2 linked regions of the Schizosaccharomyces pombe genome follow. Each later gene encodes a partner of the first gene's protein in a complex. Each region holds a gene or a part of one and is shown on either strand. Other genes may lie near its edges. The genes, in order: phf2 and lsd2.

Evidence for each region.
Region 2: phf2 (region 1) and lsd2 share a complex: the UniProt entries of both Schizosaccharomyces pombe proteins name them as parts of the SWM histone demethylase complex.

Annotation. Positions count from the first base shown.
Region 1 is NC_003424.3:1,102,750-1,107,164, reverse strand, and holds phf2 (Lsd1/2 complex PHD finger domain-containing protein Phf2), read right to left. Parts: upstream 2,398-4,415; 5' UTR 2,302-2,397; coding exon 962-2,301; intron 913-961; coding exon 636-912; 3' UTR 557-635; downstream 1-556. Other genes in the region: nth1 (DNA endonuclease III), read left to right, coding at 1-392; protein Cwf19, read left to right, coding at 3,418-4,415. UniProt on the Schizosaccharomyces pombe protein: Component of the SWM histone demethylase complex that specifically demethylates H3K9me2, a specific tag for epigenetic transcriptional activation, thereby acting as a corepressor.
Region 2 is NC_003424.3:444,782-451,389, reverse strand, and holds lsd2 (putative histone demethylase SWIRM2), read right to left. Parts: upstream 4,621-6,608; coding exon 2,149-4,620; intron 2,096-2,148; coding exon 860-2,095; 3' UTR 664-859; downstream 1-663. Other genes in the region: meiosis specific arrestin family membrane adaptor Ste7, read left to right, coding at 1-180; Fe-sensing transcription factor Fep1, read right to left, coding at 6,127-6,608. UniProt on the Schizosaccharomyces pombe protein: Catalytic component of the SWM histone demethylase complex that specifically demethylates H3K9me2, a specific tag for epigenetic transcriptional activation, thereby acting as a corepressor.

The sequences.
Region 1 (4,415 bases):
GCTTGTGTCCTAGCGCCTTTAAAGAAAAAAGTGGCATCACAATAACTAAGAGAAAAGTCAAAACGATTAAAAGAGTCAAAAAAAGACCTGCTTCTGAGTCACCTCCTCTATCTCCACTCTCCCTTCCTACAGATGATTTGTATTACCAAAGCATCGAAGATAAATCACTTATAAAACTTGAGGACTTGGACCCTGTTGATAGTATATCACACATGAATGAACCTTTGAAAAAAGAACCAGCCGCTGATATTGATGTAGATCAGAAGCCACCTGTCGCATTCCATTCAACTACAAAAGAAACTAGGTCACTGCGCAGGTCAAAGCGAGTTGCAAAAAAATCATCCCAGTATTTCTCCCAACAAAGTTTACAAGATATTGAAGATCTGGTTTAATTTATTTTTAGGACCGTAAATTTTGGACAACATAAATCTGTTATTTATTTACATGAATTACTCAAAATTATTTATTCTTTACAACTCCGTCTTTAAACATATTCAAGAACCTTTTGCTACTGACTGTATAGTTATAATATCCTCTACCTTTACTTTTTAATAATTTTTTTAAATCTTGGAATAAATTGAAATCATTAATGTTGTTATACCCTTCAACAAACAATGCAGAATGTAAGATACTCGTTAAATACTACTAAGAACAATTGGAGTTTCGTCGAACATATAATAAGTACAAAAGTTTTCGGTTAAATCCTCTGTGTGAGGCGTATACAGCATCCAATCGATAGGAATGGGGCCGGTTATAGATATGTCAGGGCGCACTGATGGTCGATCGGCATCAAACGTTCTGTTCAGTTCATAGCTGCTACCCCTCGCATCACGTAAAACACGGTTTTTACGGACCAGTCTGTTTAAGCTTCGAGTTATGTTCGAATTTTTAATTTTTCTATTCGAGTATTTACTAGAATATTAGTAATTGACGATGTCAGGAAAATATATAGAAAACTTACGCTTGAATAGTGTTAGTGATAGTAGAAAAAGAAACAGCAGCAGGGAAAGATTCTAAAACTTGTAAAACTATTTCATCTTCATTGCTATATTCTTGTAAGTATTCATCTATGGTAGGAATTTTTTCACTCTCCATGTATTGCTTATCCACTTCAACTGGTTCGGTCGAAGGTAAGGACGTCGAATGCTTGGTTGTTTTCGATTGTGATTCTGTTCCATTATTTAGACTTAGATACTGATCTCCCGTTACAGGTTCATTCATAGTAGCTGTAAAGGCAGACCTTTTGCTTTGGAGCTCTTGGACAATAGTGGAAGTTTTAGGACTATAGAACGGGATGTCGGGATGTAATTGCTCACAGAATAATAGGATGTCAACCAGTTGGGAGATCGGAAGACTTAAAAGATAAGACTTTTTCTCTTCCGAAGACAGATTTAGTTCTCGTGCCGTAGTTCCAGTTACGAGAGGCGCTTGCTTTTTTCTCCTAATGCAATCATCACAAAACCATTCTCCATTGGGGGAATCTAAAAGTTCATCAGAAATATAGGGTTCATGACAAAGTTGATGGAATGGAGTGTTACAACCATCACAGAAAACGATGCGATTTTTTGGTGGAGATTGAAGTCGTTGACAAACCGAACATTTCATAGCTAATGCGACCACAGGTCGACGACCTGGGCCACGTCGTCTAGTAGGTAATTTTACAAGGGGATCGAAATGATTAGGGCGATGCACTTTTCTTCCTGATTTTGTTTTGACACCTTCCAAATTAAATTGCTCTTCCCTACCATCTTCAGTAGAAAAGAGGGCGTCAGCGGTGTTGTCACGTTCAATAGCCAAACTGGCAGGCCATGATCTTTTCCGAGCAATGTTCATAGCAATTGACATAGGAGGTAATGGCGATGAACTTGCAGGAACATTTGGGGGTAACGCAGATTTTGTTTGGGAATCAGCACTTCTATGATGCGCATAATTAGATGAAGATGCGTCTTCAGTGAAAGGTGCCTGTTCGCTTTTTGCATCGGTTTCCTGATTTTTACTAGATTCTATTTCTTTAGCAACATCATCATTTTTGTACGAACCGAAAGCACCTGACTCCTTGTTTGGCTCGTGAAAGTGTTGGAACTGATTTTCCAAATGCATGTTTGAATTCACGTTAGGATTTTGTATATCCTGAAAGGCTTGATCTATTAGCACAGAGCCTCCATTTTGATTAGATTCCTCCCCCTCAAACATCGTTGGATGCAAATCATTGGGAAATCGACGACTACCGTCGAATTGAAAAGGATATGATGCCGCTTCAAAAGAACCGCCATCGTCGTCATAGTACGATGAATTCGGCATTAGGTTTTAAATCATTCATATGCTCATGTAAAAAACAAATGAAAAAATGAAGCAAATGGCAAAAAATGCGAATGTGTAAGTTCAACACGCGTGTTTGGAATTTAGGTGAGATTTAACGCAACTTATAAATCGTTTGCTGCTGTTACTCCAATTATGTTTTGCTAGCGAAATGAGATTGATCATCACTATATCTCGCTTATTCACTTCTCACTACAACTCACTGTCTAGTCATATATAAATACTGCACGTATCCATGAAGAGCTGAAATCTCACATTTATTAGAGCTTTTTTATTTTTAATTTTGTTAAATTTAATTATTCATGCATTAACTAGTCATAGCTATAAATATGAATGAAAATTTGGTCTTTCCTTTGTTTATATTTCCTAGATGGCCTAACAGCTATAATTGATTGAACTTGTATGCTATTAAAGGCGATAAACAGACTTCTTTAGTACTTTGCTAAAGAAAATATAATTGCAATGATCCAATTACACTGGAAATACAGGTATAAAAAATCGTCACAGTTTGGAAACAAACAATGCTTTTTTTTCTGTGGCTGTTGTGTAGCTTTGCTAGTATCATAAACTCATTGTACACTAGCGCAAGACACACTATACAGTAGTTAGCGCGAGGTATTTTATTATTCTTTCCAACTTATTTGTAATGAAGTTCAAATAAACAATGGGTAATTTAGTACTACTAAAGTCCTTGCGTTATTTAAAAGGTTTTTGTTTGAAGTTAGTGGTATATATTTTGGAATCCTAAAGTTATTGTATCGCCTTTCACTGTCAATGTGGAATACTGCAAAGGCCGATACTCCTTCTTTCAAACTTAATTGTTTCACTTTCTTTTCTTTCCATTTCAACGCAATATTTTACAATTTTTTTTAATTTAAAAGAGAATTCTGATCATTGTCTAAACTAAACTCCTGGCAAAACTATCATTTGCGTTGCTTGTTTAGATCTGCATAGTGCCTGAACCACTTGACTTAACGAATGTACTACTACCATCGTTAAGTTACAATAAAAACATTATTTCCTTTTTCCCACCATTTTGCCTCTAATTATTGTTAAAAATTATTTATTTCATGAATTAATATTAAAATAACGTCCATTATGGAAAAGGAAAAGCTTACAAATAGGACCAGTACTCACAAATTCAATGAAACTGACAGAGAAACAAATCACTCTAGAAGGCATCGTCACCACCACTCTAGGCATCGTGAGAGCAAGCATGGACGACATGATCGCAGTGAAAGGCCAAGCTCTAGAGAAGCAGGTGACCGAAGTAGGCATGAAAGATTTAGTAAAGAGCCATTGGAGGTAAAGAAACTTCCTGTTGAAAATGAATACTTTGACTCCAAATTCGCTTCTGCTTCTTCCATGCCATCCTCCAAAGACAATCCACAGAATAATGACTTTACTAATTCATTGCAAGGTTTGGATTTTGGTACGTTCGGTTCGCGTATACAAAGAGAACCTATTGACCGAAAGTCCAATAAGCCTGGTGAAATTTTTGTTGGTGCAACATTACAGAATGAGAGTTCGACGAGTACAGAACATAAAGATATAGAACAGCTTGAAACCGAAATTAATGAGTCAGGAATTAATTACAAAATTGGTGATAATGGCTCTCGATGGCGTATGATGAAGCTCAAACGCGTATTTGACATGGCTCAAGACCAACGACGCCCCGTTGAAGAAGTAGCTCTGGAACGTTATGGTTCATTGAAAGAATTTGATTTTGCCTTGGAAGAAAGAGATGAGTTAGAGCTTCGAAAACGAACTCGAAAAGTTCAGAAAGAAGTTCCTACTGGCGAATTATATGAAAAACGATGTGCTGATGAATTTAAGACTAGAAAAGATTCTGGTAATGGCGCTACATACTACAAAGTAATACCTGACCCTTCTGTAAATAAAGATACTCCCACTGAAAGCGATTTGAATAGATTAAAAGCTGATTTGTTACGTGCTCAACTTAAAAAGGATCCTAACTATGAGTCTTTAGAAAGGGAATATCAGAAAGCTTGTGATGACTTCGAAAACTCTTTACACCCTTCGGAAAATTCTAATTCGCAAGCAACCATACCATCAAAAAAAAGAAACTTCGACGA
Region 2 (6,608 bases), 660 kb from region 1:
CTGTATCTAGCTACTTTGCCAATGGGTTATGAACGATCTAATTCCGTATCATACTGTTCAGATTCAAGTCTTAGCTCCCCTTTGCCTGACGACAATATGCTACAAGATCCACACGCTTTGAACATGGCGTATGCTAAAGAATTCGATGTTCTTATCAATGAAGTCTTACAGTCTCTTTAATTATTTATAACAGACTTCCTGAATTACGAGTCTTTATAACAACCACTTTTTTTTTGACAATTGAGATGCCATCTCCTATTAACTTTTGGATAATGCTTTTAATTATACATGTCCAAATATGGACTGGAGTCAATAACTCGGCATTTTTATATTATTTTATTTTAATATCATATGCATCTTATGTTTTTTTTTTAACTATTTCGTTGTAGTACTTGCTTTGAGATACATAGTGTCCATGGTGTCTGCAACAAATACAACCGCATCTGTTTTGGCTTAATTTAATGATTCTTAGTTAATTTTAATTACTTTTTTTCTAATAACTTATTTTTTTATTTATTTCACAAGCGTACTAGTAATATCATTTGTTGCTTGAATATTATGTTAATGGCAAAATGGTAACATGCATTACATCCTAAAGAGTGAGAGTAGTAGCTGTGTTTACGATATCATCTTTTATCTCTTACATCTTCGGCATTAAATCAGGTTGGCTACTGGCTAACGAGAAGTGTACATGTATTTTAGATTTTCCTTAAACAATTTGCTGAAATTAGCAATTTGATAAAATGCTTCATTTAGGGCATGACGAGAATATATATGTACATAAAATTTTAAGGGTATTTGTAATGATGCGAAGTAACTAAACTTTTAAAAAACAATATGTGATTTGATTTTTTTTCTTTTAATATCGTGTTCCATTATAACCCGAATCAGAAGATCCATCGTCATGATACTCTTCGTCGCTAGCCTCTCGACTTTTGGAAATGTTGTCATCCTGAGTTTGTTTTCTTTGCTCTTCTTCTCGTTGAGCTTGCATAAACAATCTTGCTTCATCATCGGGAATAGGTTCATCTTGGCATTTGGCCGCATAATCATTTCGTATTTGCTCGGCTCTCATTTCATATTCTTTAGTTAGGCGCTGATAACGAAGAATTTTTCCAGCATAAGCTTCTCTTTGTGCTGCAATTTCATCAATCCAAGGTTTTTTACCTAAATCATCAAGCTGGCGCCAAGTTTTCCCTAGTTTGGCACGTGTTTCATTAATAGTAGCCTTCGCTGTACTATCTCCTGTTAACCTTCGCTTGTCTTCATCAGCAAGTGCACGGCATACATGCCACTGCATTTTTTGGTAAAGTAAAAAGGGATTTGCATTCGGCTTGGAAGGAGGTTCAGGTAAATAACCAAGAAGTTCAGTTACAAGCTGTTCCTGTTCTTCCTTATGCTCGTCAAGTCTTTCCTGCTTTTTCAACCTATATCTTGCCTGATAAGAAAGGTGACGCTGTGCTTCAGCATTGGGATCAAAATTATTAACTTTAGAGTTTCGCAAAAACTGATCCAATTCTTTGCGAGAGGTTTCTCCAATGATAGGTATGGTTAAGGAAATTGGAGCCAATGAATCAATAATCCCTGTACATACGGAAAGGCCAGATAAAAAGGATCTTTGTAATGTCCTACAGCCTACGCAACTGAATATATAGTCTCCAGCAATATGCAAGCGACCCAAATTATACGATAACTGACTTTGCCTAAATCTTTTTTCATATTGCTGCTTATCATTGGCAAAATTTGGATAAGAATTTAAGCCGTCATAGACACCATTTCTCGACCAGTTTGTGACCCAAGCATCTAATAAATCAGCTGAGCTGTTTGAATCATTTTGAAAATGATCTACTATTAGACTGTGTAATTCTTGAATTAAGTGGGAGGTCTCGTTAGAAGAAGAACTTGTCATTTGTGGATTGATATCCGCTACTAATATTGGGACACCAGTTTCAGGAAGCATATTCCATATTCTCAAAACAAAACAAGATTTACCATCATTCTCATCATTGTTCATTTCTTGACTTAATGATTTTGGTATAATACCAAATGATCTAATGTTCTTTCGCCAAAAAGCAGCTGCATAACGAAGAATAACCTGCTCAATGTTAACTTTATAATTGAAAAAAAAATAAATAAATAAAAACCTACCTTTTTTCCGGGTTTGAAATCTATACTTTTTATGTTTTCAGTCACGAAATTAGGAAGACCTGGTGAAAACTCTATATTTGAAGAAAAATGAGAAGGAGAGCAAGCAATTACAACTTGGTCAACCTCATAAGAAGAGTTGTCCTTACAATCAAGGGTACATTTATCATTTTCAATAGTTACCTTAGATACAAACTTCTCATAATGAATATTTAAGGGAGATGGATAAGATTGTAATGCCCATGGCAGTTGAGATAGACCTCTTCTAGCAACTTTTGGAATCAAAATATCTTTGGAGAAGTCTGTATCAACTGTGTTAAGAGGGTACAAAGTATCGTCCAATTCCGCGACCTTAAAACACCATATCAGAAATTTCTTTTGACTGTTCCCGAGTTTGGCATAAGAAGAAACTTCATCAATTAGTATTAGCATTGTTTTTTTGAAGGAAAATTCATGTGACGCATTTAATGAGAGTGATTTGGACAAATGATCAGGGAACATTTCATCTATAAACAACTGAAATTGGGATATCCAAGAAATACGAACAGATTCCTCAACGTTAATAAAAAAGCAAACAGAAACATATTCCAAAAGTTTTTCCCATAAAATGTTTAATTTTTTCACCTCAACCATGTCTAATACTTTAGTATCGGTCTCATCGTAAACTAAATCTGAGCCAGTCATCTCTGTAACTTCAATACCCAATTGTTTATTTAAAAGGTTAAGCAAAATATCGTCCATAGGCGAAAATAAAAATTGAAATCCCAAATCAATTGCTGAAGGAATATGGGACGGGTCAGTAACATCCTTGGGGTTTAAAGAAGTGGAATTACTAGAAATAGAATTCGAATTAGATGTATGATGGTTAATTTGGGTAGCCGAAGTATGAGAAACAGGCAATGCTCGAGAGTAAATACGACCTCCTGTCCTTTCTTTAGCTTCAAGTATAATAACTTTAGGAGGAAGCTCATTCTTTGACAAAAAAGATGAAGAATACTGAGAAAATAAGCCAGTAAGTTGTCTAGCACATATCAAACCAGTAAGACCAGCGCCTACTACAGCAATAGTCTTCTGCTTCGATGCAGAACTGGATGTTGTGCCAGTATTAGTTTCATTCGTAAAGGATGAATCAAAGGACAAGCATCCATAGTTTATATATCCATACCTTACAAGGAATTCATAAGCTAAAGAGGCTAATTGGAACAAACATCGATCGACACATACGCCCTGAGCTTCAACTCTGGATATGGCATGCGTAGGATTTTTAATCCAAAGCCAACAAATGCTGTTACGAATTTGGAAATAATGAAATAATACAACGGGATCGTGTAAACGATCAGAAAGCATGTGTTGTTCAAAACTTTCTAAGGCCCTCGGATCGAGATTGCATTTACGAGCTGCTTCAGCGGCATGCTCAAAAAACGACTTTAAAGAAGATGTAGGGATACTGGCTCCTGCAGATGGTATAGTATGAGATGATGATTGACTAGACCATTGTAGCAGTACTCTAGACGGCTCAATTGCAACAGAACCTTCAGGCCTAGCACCTAACTCTGAATCAAAAAGTGCAGGACTACTAATATTACCAGATGTAGCAGCTGAAGACATTAAAGGGAAAGATGAAGCAGGAGGCGATACAACTGCCGGTGCAGTAGTAGGTGGTATTGGCAAAACTGCGTTATCAACACTTTTAGATAATTCTGTTGCTGATACCAACTGTGTAGGCATAAAACTTTCATGATTGCGGAATGTAGATGGGGTAACTCCATGAGAAACTTGATCCCGATACATCGACAAAAGTTGCTGAGAAGATAAATGAGAAGCGTCTAATGGATACGGATAATTGGAAAAGGCATTTGAGTTTTGGTGTTGAATGGGGCCTGCATGAATTGCCGTTGAACCATCTCCACTGGAAGAAAGCGGGTTTTGTGATCGTGAAGGATATGTAGATGGAAATTGCTGAGAAGACGGAGAGTTTGCATCAAAAAAGTTTTCGTATGTGGATGACTTTTGTTGAGGAAAAGAGGAACCTACAGTTGGAGGTAATCCAATTGTTCTCATTCCAGACTGCTGAGCGACACCTGCATTTGAATTGCCTAAAAGATGCTGAGGAAATGGTTGATTAGCCGCTTGCGAAATTGTGTAAGGGTGAAAAGAGGAATCATATCTAGAAGGTAAAAATGCTGGATTATAGTTTCCCCATTGATTGTTCAGTGAGCTAACTGGCTGTGAATTTAAGCCGCCATCTGTACGATAAGTTGACCTTGAATACGCGTTCTGATTAACAGAATTAGGTGTGATAGACTGTAATCCACCTCCTAAAATAGCTAAAAGCGCTTGTTCACTACTCACCAATTGAGGTTGAGTTGAATTAACGTTGTTGGCGTTAGCATATGATGAAGCCCGGTCAGAATGATGCTCTGTCATTTCTGGAAAGTCATAATGACCATCTGGATCATTCTCGCTCGTGTTCATAGAGTAAAAAGATACAATCAAAGTGAACCGAGGTGGTAAAATCTCATTGAATCTCGATTTGGTGTTTACAAAGTACTTTGCGCAACATATCCTTAACGATTCGTTAAAAAAATATCGTTCTAAATATTATAGCATAATGGGATAACGACAAATATTATAAGCATTTTTATGTCAAGTCCAATCAATCATCTATCAGACTATCCAGAATTTATATTTTTCTTTTAGATAATACATGTGTCTTTAATTATTTGAATACCATGAAGAACGCCCGAGAGGCATTCAATTGCCTATTTATCTGATTCATATTGCGAGTATTATTCTACGATCGCATTTGCTCTCTTCTACAGGCTTAACACTTTGGAAATGATGAACGAAAAATGTGAAGTTCATTAATTTGTATTCATTTTCCAAATTATTGCATTAATGTGTTAGCTCTTTCATGCTAAAGACTACTACCTAAACTCGTTGATTTCAACTTGCAGAAAACAATATTACAATACACTTGAAAGTATAGTCAGCGGAGAATAGAACAAATGGAGTAAATTATTATAACAATCCAAAAATATGTTACATTGCTGTTAAGATTCAGAAAAGCTTAGGATGTTTAGAGTAGTAGTGTAGATTAACTGTTTATCAATATTATACTAAAACATCTCATTATGGTTCAAGTTCGCTATTGTTGAATTTTACAAAAAGTCTAGTCCCGCCGGGGATCGAACCCGGGACCTTCTCCGTGTGAAGGAGAAATCATACCACTAGAACACGGGACTGTTGGTTGTTAACAGAAAAACTAAATGATATATATCATAATTACATTATTATTGATTTAAATAGATTAAATAATGAATAGCGAAGTTATTTGAGCTGAAAATTAAGTGTAAGTTTTTTATATATGTGCTGTAATGAACAATTAAAATTTCAGCCTAATCATATAGTTTTAAAAGTCAAGCAATGACTTTTTGCGAATGAACTAATTAACCATGGATACTGCTTTTTACAAGCAACTCCATTTTCCGTTTTAAATAGTTGTATACAAATGTTTTTTCCCCCGAAAAATTGTAAAAATATATTAATGAATTGACAATTTCCAAATGAGTTTGCACTCGGGCAGTTTAAATATATTTAATATATTAACTATCTACATACCATATAAATCCGGTAGTATTATTTTTTCTCAATATCTGCTTTTTCGATGCGTATTAATATCATAAAAAATGCTCCACATAGGATTTCATTAAAAACATATATGTTAACTCTAAATTTAACGGTAAATCGCTAAGGACTGAATATTATTTTCCAGCTCTTAACGAATATAACACCGCAGACGGACTTGGCCAATACCAAAACTAACGCAAAACAAAAGACCAATAAGAATCATGTGAAGTATTTTACCCTAAACTCATAGTATACAATGTCATGCTTGTAAGTAATAGACAGCTAAACGGGATAATATCTAATTTGTTTACCATAAATAAATATGCCGCACGACAAACATGCCAATCAAGTTTATGTTTGAAGAGCTCCAGATGCAACAACAGCAGGGGTTGAGGATTTAATATGTTCAGAAGCCATATTTTCATTGTCAGAGGACCTCAGCCATTCATCTATTTGTTGAATGTGCTGATTTAAATTGTGCAACTCCTGAATCATTAAATCATGCTGAGAACGCAATTGCGAAAGAACATTCAAAGCATAATTGCGTTTATCTACATTTGATCCCTGAACTTCAGGAGGAAACTGCAAAGAAACCGGCGAGGTAGAGGATTGGATTAAAGGAGCTTGCTGAGATTGCGAAGGTGAAACTTCTGATTTCGGTCCATTTGACATTGATGGCTGCTTGTCGGAATTTGAGGGTGGCTCTTCGGGGTTAAGTAAGGAAGCAATTCCTTCAGCAATCCTTGGCTTTGCAGAAGTTCGAGGAGGCAAACAGACTGACTCGCCAACAGGAAGGATAGGAGGTAAATGAAACTTCATGCCTAAGGGGTTGG